Daphnia pulex: one gene and its partner. The protein of the gene in region 1 binds, or shares a complex with, the protein of each later gene. Links are inferred from orthologs where the notes say so. Each region holds a gene or a part of one and is shown in the gene's direction. Other genes may lie near its edges.

Evidence for each region.
Region 2: exosome complex component RRP4-like (region 1) and exosome complex component RRP46-like share a complex: the UniProt entries of both Caenorhabditis elegans proteins name them as parts of the RNA exosome complex. The link is inferred for Daphnia pulex from reciprocal best matches to the Caenorhabditis elegans genes exos-2 and crn-5.

The regions. Positions count from the first base shown.
Region 1 is NC_060023.1:8,701,206-8,704,774, reverse strand, and holds exosome complex component RRP4-like, read left to right. Parts: upstream 1-1,533; 5' UTR 1,534-1,647; coding exon 1,648-1,766; intron 1,767-1,826; coding exon 1,827-2,064; intron 2,065-2,124; coding exon 2,125-2,259; intron 2,260-2,317; coding exon 2,318-2,488; intron 2,489-2,553; coding exon 2,554-2,688; intron 2,689-2,750; coding exon 2,751-2,831; 3' UTR 2,832-2,864; downstream 2,865-3,569. Other genes in the region: CDP-diacylglycerol--glycerol-3-phosphate 3-phosphatidyltransferase, mitochondrial-like, read right to left, coding at 62-967, 1,032-1,295; uncharacterized protein LOC124197887, read right to left, coding at 3,461-3,569. UniProt on the Caenorhabditis elegans protein: Non-catalytic component of the RNA exosome complex which has 3'->5' exoribonuclease activity and participates in a multitude of cellular RNA processing and degradation events. Involved in regulation of antisense ribosomal siRNA production.
Region 2 is NC_060020.1:3,912,405-3,915,725, forward strand, and holds exosome complex component RRP46-like, read left to right. Parts: upstream 1-1,662; 5' UTR 1,663-1,811; coding exon 1,812-1,899; intron 1,900-1,988; coding exon 1,989-2,102; intron 2,103-2,163; coding exon 2,164-2,285; intron 2,286-2,351; coding exon 2,352-2,492; intron 2,493-2,574; coding exon 2,575-2,766; 3' UTR 2,767-2,800; downstream 2,801-3,321. Other genes in the region: serine/threonine-protein kinase D1-like, read right to left, coding at 621-752. UniProt on the Caenorhabditis elegans protein: Non-catalytic component of the RNA exosome complex which has 3'->5' exoribonuclease activity and participates in a multitude of cellular RNA processing and degradation events. Involved in apoptotic DNA degradation.

The DNA.
Region 1 (3,569 bases):
TGGGAATAAATCAATCAAATTAAATGGGAGAACGTTTGTTTGAATGGTGATAGGGGCTTACCAGAGGATGTGCCATGAGAATGTGAACATTTGGCTGGGACGCTTCTAGCAAACTATCCATATAGTCCTGAGTCAGGTTGAAGTACCCGGTTGCTAGACATAATTCGGCGTTTGCCGGTACGTTTTCTAGAATCTCGCGCGTCAAGATGTTATCCATGTAAATGTTTAGCTGCCCCATCTGGACGAAAGGGAAGATCCAGGTGTCGTAAGCAGACGGATTCGGCCATTGAAATATCGAGGACGAAACATTTGCTTTTATTTGCTTTTCAAACAAGTTGTTGATTCTCCGTTTTGCTTCTTCTGTAAATTCAAGCCGATTGGATTCAAACGGATGGTGAGGAAAAGCGGAATTCAAGTTAAGGCAGTTGTTTTCACTTAAATGAAATGAAAACTGGCACACAGTTTCTACTAGTTGGTCAAAGAAATCCACTAAATCTTTGCAATCTTCCATAATTATGTATCGATCTTGCCGATTTGTGAAGTAATCGTGGCTTAAATTTGCGCCACTGATTAATAAGGAATCGTCAAATATGTAAATCTTCATATGTTGCAAGCCAATAATTTCATTCCATCTTTCTGGGAGAATTTTCTTTAATAATCCTCTAAGTGCTGGAGTGTGATAAAAATGGACTGAACACTGCTGGCTGTAGGACTGAACTAAGGGAAGCAGCATTGTACGGGAATTGAATTGGGCACCTCTAGAGCCTCTTGTTGCATCCAACAGAATTCGAACTTTCAGGCTGGAGCCAGAGTTTTTCTTCAAAGTACTTTCAATTGTTTTTACAAGCTCATTTTCATGATTTCCTGTTCCAAGATATAAGGATGCAAAAGTGACTCTTTGACTTGCTTGACTAGTCTTTTCAATAAGTGTTTTGTAGAAATCTTCAGGATCAGACAAAACTCGAACCTAAGAAAAAATTTTACAACTATTACTAGAAGACACTAATAAAATACCTTATTAGAACACTAACCTTATTTCCGTTCACAGGGAAACAAGGGGTTTTACTTCCGAGCCATCTGAAATTTTCAAGGGTCGTTAACAGTTCCGTTCTCTGCTGTTCATCACTGTCGGGTTCCATTTCGGGACGATGCTGGAGATGAAGTGATCTCGAGACAAGGTTACGTTGCCAACCTCTGCGAGCAGTCTTGGGAAGGAAGTGCCAAGATACTCGTTGTCGCCCAGCAACGCATATCGTTGTTGAAAAAAGTATTGCTTTTTGGCAAATTAGTGACATTTACTTGTACGGACGAATGAAATGAATCGGCATATAAACAAACAGACATCTGATGGCAAAAATTAATACTAATGTGATTCGCGCAATGTTTTATTTGATTCGTTAAAAAAATTTCAGTTGACTTTATATTTTCCATTTCGAACATAAGTTAATTAGTCGATTTAAATTGCACAATATCATTTTGACAAGAATATCCACAAATATTTATATTCTTAAATATTTTGATATCGCCATAGCTTAGGCAACGTAGCAGCATGGTATAGCAGAACACGATGAATTATTGTCATTTTCAAGTGTGCTGTTGTTTCCTTTTTTTTGAACTTGATACATTAGGATAATTAAAACCAAAAGAATGGTAGACATTCGCCTTGCTTCTGAAGTGCCTCCTTTTCATATCGTCGCTGATTCTACTGAACCCAAACATCTTGTCACACCTGGCTCTTTGATCACAAAGGAAACAGGATTCATGAGGTAGATTGTTAAAAGTTTTGCCATTTTCTTGATGATAATCTTATTTTATGTTTTGCTAAGGGGTCATGGAACATACATGCAAGATGACTGTTTGTACTCCAGTGTTGCTGGAGTTGTGGAGAGAGTCAACCAACTTATTTCAGTTAGACCCTTGAAATCTCGTTATCATGGGGAGATTGGAGATGTCGTAATTGGTAGGGTTACTGAGGTTTCACAGAAACGTTGGAAACTGGACACCAATGCAAGATTAGATTCAGTGCTTCTTCTTCAGTCAGTCAATTTGCCTGGTGGTGAACTCGTAAGAAAGACTTTTTATTTGTGCAATTACACAAATATTTATATCTCATAATGCTTTTAGAGAAGAAGATCAGCAGAAGATGAATTAGCCATGAGGCAATACCTGAAAGAAGGAGATTTGGTCAGTGCAGAGGTTCAAAACATCTTCAATGATGGAGCTCTTTCTTTACACACCCGCAGCATGAAATATGGAAAAGTATAACAATAAGTTATTTAAAATATTAACTGTAATAACAACCATTTATCTGTTATAGCTTTCCCAAGGTTGCCTAATAAAAGTTAGTCCATCTTTGATCCGAAGACAGAAGACTCATTTCCACAACTTGCCTTGCGGAGCAAGTATCATTATGGGTAACAATGGATTTGTTTGGATCTGCCCTACGCTCCTTGACGATGGCGCCGGTGGATTTGTTCAAAACTTGGAGGTGCGTACTAAAAAGTCGATGTTTGTACATTATCACGTGGAAGCTAATTCTGTTGAAACCTATAGACAGTTCCGCATGCCGATCGACAAGCTATAAGCCGGTTAAGGAATTGTGTGACAGCTTTGGCGCACTGCAAGATGATGATCTATGATACCAGCATTATGCATGCCTACGAAGCCTCCGTAAATGCTGGGCTTGAGGTAATTATTTTTACATTGAAACTAAATAATTCAATGCTAACTTATATAATGCTTTTATGTAGATCAAGGATCTTCTCCTACCGGACAAGATAAAAGAAATCGCTTTAATGGTTCGTAAGCAGTTCGAAATGGAAAAAGAATAATTTAATTTTCGAATAAACATGGCTCAGGCTGAACCAGAAGTTGACATTCGATTTCCCAAACATTAATGGTGTGGATCAGTTTATTCATACTGCAGACAAAGTTTTATTCTGGGGCAGGGAAAAACATAAACGAAGAAACATTCGATAATAAAGGCGGTTTTTTTTTGTTTCCAACTACAACCGGTTTCCCAAGAATATTAAAATTTTGTAGACTTCATTTATAAGTCATCCCCCCCACAAATCATATTTACATTAAAACAAGTGTGCTAGAGAAAACCAGGATAAGATCTGCCGTAAGCACCACTCAACAAAATGCCCTGGGCTAGTTTTGAAACACCTAAAAAGATTATATAGGATAATAAATTACTAATGGACCCCGTTCCCTAGGTCCACCAAGGAAGGAAAAAAAAAAGATTTAACCGGAAGTCATGTTAAAGCGCTGCTTTAACAAATCAAGCAAATAATAATTAACAAAAAAAAAAAATAATGATAAATAGAAACAATGAATATCTAGCGAAATTCCGTGACGACGAATGGATAACGATTATGTTTAGGAGGGCTTCACGATTGGAAAATGTCCCGTGTTTTTAGATATTAGGATTCCACCTTGATTAGATGGGTTTGTAATCTTAGACGCTCTTGTCGGGTCCCAACCAGCGGCGCATGAGGAAGTAGAACACGGTGCAGATGTACAGTAATAAGAGAAGAGCGCATGTGACGGCCAACGCCAGGACGGAC
Region 2 (3,321 bases), on another chromosome or scaffold:
ATTGTTGTTGACCCAATCAAGAAAAGAAGCCCAGAAGGTTTTTTTCCTTTTTTCTATTCGTAGAAAGATCCGCCGGAAAAAGGAAATGAATCTGGAGAGGGCAAAAAAGGGCGAATTGCGTGAACAAACTGATGGGACTAGGATTCATTCGCCAAAATCCTGGATAGTAACACAGAAAACGTCAGCAACAGCTAAAAGCTTGAAAAGGAACGAGTTTCATCAAATATTTGACATGTCAATGCACAAGACATTTTTCCTTCCATCTCAATCATCCTAAATCCAATATCGCAACGTGGCTGCTGAAGAAATCGATTGGCCCCCTCTTGAAAAGAGATTATTTCTAATCATCCAACCTTATTGATCATTTAAAGCAGGATTGTGTCAACAGTTCCCAGTGGAAGTGGATGGGAAAATATGGAGAAAAATTCCGAATACAACAGCTTAGCAACTTAAAAGGCAAAAATATACACGGCAAACACACTTAAGCAACGACAGTGATGACGTAATATAATCAAAACAAAAAAGCTCTCTGGTTACTACAATAAAGGCGTTGTCAGGTGTATAGTGATGCATGGACGTGGAGGTAATTGGATCGGCGTGTAATGTTCAAAAACACTTACCCGTTGATTAATAAAGTTGCAGGCCAAATCTTTGAGCGTTTTCAGCGTTAACTGGGAGGCATCCGTGGAGATAAAGTCTCGTACCAGTCCAACTTGGAACATAAAGGTCACCTGACCATTACCATCATCCATGATGGAGCTTGGATCCAAAATTTTATGAAAAACACAATCACAATTATGGCGAAGTTTGACTTTTGGATGGCAGTGAAATTCGCACACACACAAAACTGGCCCTTTTTCGTTGGAATAGTCTGTGTGGTTGGTGTGTGTGTGTGCAATCAGGTGGGAGCAATGGAGTAAAAAAAAAAAAAAAACGGGTTCCAGCAACCAACAGGTTGATTGGAATGTCACATAGCCTCGGGCTGAGATCACCTTTTCTTTCGTCGTTCTCCCGCCCTGGCACCACTTAGATTTTTCCTTTTCTTTCTTCTTCAAAGAAAAAAGGTTGGGTTTTTACCTCCACTTGATTGCACGACAAAACTGAGCAACACGACTGTTTTAAAACCAACACAGATGGGAGCAGCACAACGCGTGATAACACGTTGGTGATGAAAAAAGTCGGTGCGAATAAGAGGGACTGGCTAATGGAAATGCCCAAACTAAATTCAATTAATACGCAGGTTTCCCAATCATGATGGCACACACAAAAAATTCACGTATAAACATCACACACACACACACACACACTAGCACACTTTACGTTCTCTCGAGAAATGCAGAAACAGACTCACGTACGTGTGTGTGTGTGTTTCTGACCGTGCAGCTCAAGTCACGATAACTTGGTAGTCTGCCGAGCTAATAAATACTGTCGCTACTCGGAGATCCGTCTTTGGCTTGCTCACAATTTTCTGGCCAAAAACAGCGTTGCCATTCTCTCGTGACTGAACGAACGAAATCCATGAAAAATACATATTCATAGCTACATTGGAAAATTGTGAATTTTTCAGGTCTTCTTTATTACAAATATAATAGTTGTTTTAAATTCATGGAGTTAAAAGTTATATTTTGTGTGATTAAGTAAATGGTTGCCATGGTAACTTAGAGACATCTGCAGACTGCTGTTGCCGACCCGTCAACCCCATGTATTTTTTACGATCACGTTGCTTATGCAGAAACAGGGCTGCGTTCTTAATCTGAATTATTGAATACTTTTTCAATCACAAAGAATTGCTTGCAATATTATTATTCGCCATGGAGACTGAAGAGAATAGCATTCGTGCTTTAAAGTGCGAACAAAGCGTACTGTCACGTGCAGATGGCTCGGTGATGTTTTCTCAAGGTAAGTTTAGATTTGTAACTTTTTCCACGCTGTTTTCGTGTTATTTTGTCCAAGTCGGTAAATTTTATTTTATTGACTTGTCATTTCAGGGAATACTGTGGTAATGGCTTCAGTTTATGGACCTTTGGAGGCTAAAATTCAAAAGGAACTGTCCGATAGAATGTACATTGAACTAAACTACAAGCCAAAAACAGGAATGCCAGGTTATTAATAACTTATCCTGTGTATTATTATTTCTGTAATATTGAATGCATTTTTATTTAGGTGTTGCTGAGCGTGGAAAGGAGAAACTCATCAAGACCACTTGTAATCACATTATTTTGACGAACCTGCACCCTCGAACAGCTGTCTGCATAACAGTTCAAGAAATGCAAGATGGTGGAACTGTAAGCACTTACCACAACAAATTTATTTTGATCAAGAATTAGTTGTTCACATTTTCCATAAACTAGTTGCTAGCAGCCTCCATCAATGCTGTGTGCCTTGCACTTCTTGACTCGGGTTTACCCCTGCAGTGTCTTGTAGCTGCAGTGACTTGTTTGGTAGACAAGAAGGATAGAATTGTCCTAGACCCATGCATCAGCACAGTCAAAGTATGATTTCCACTAAGAATTAACTAATTTTTTTCCCCCATTTTTTGTTGTTGTGCCTAACTTACTTTTTTCCCCATTACAGGAAGGTTATAAAGCAATGTTTACCTTTGCTTTTGACAGTCAAAAATACAACTTAATTCTGAGCCACTGTGAAGGCCAAGTTCCCTATCAACTTTTTCAAAAAGCCATGGAGCTGTGTCAGAAAGCCAGTCACGTCATCTTTGATTTCTACCGGCAAGCAGTACTACGAAAGTTTTCCAACGAACTTCTGTAAAACTTTCAAAAAATACACATTTTAAAGTTTTGTATATGCGACTGAAAACAAAGTATAATTGTATAAGTATAGGCTTGCTTATTTCCAGTATCGTTAAATTTCTTCGGAAAACCAATCCATCCTAATATGTCATGCGCATCTAGCAATACTCGAGTAATCACGTTCACCAAAACTATATCTAGAAGGTTTCCTGCCCGGAGCTTGGCTCCAATGCAATGCGGTACAATTTTGACACAAGTTATTTAGGTATAGTAAAAGTGCCGATTGTGAAATCAGAAAAAAAATAAACTTAACTTTGAAACAAACTCTTCTTAGAATGACATATGGTAGGTAGTTCTACCATTTTTAGGATTTATTCGGTCGGAAAATGTAGCATAAAGGAATTTCTTTTATGGTTATTCTGAAAATTTATTTCAAGGTGGTCTGGATATATCGAGTGCGATTTCAGCCTTTACGGTAATAGGCCTTGAAATGTTTTTCTCAATTAGAAAGTTTAGCCAATTAGGCTGTCAAGTCAAAGTCAACACAAATAAAGCAATTCTAAATTTAAGTCAT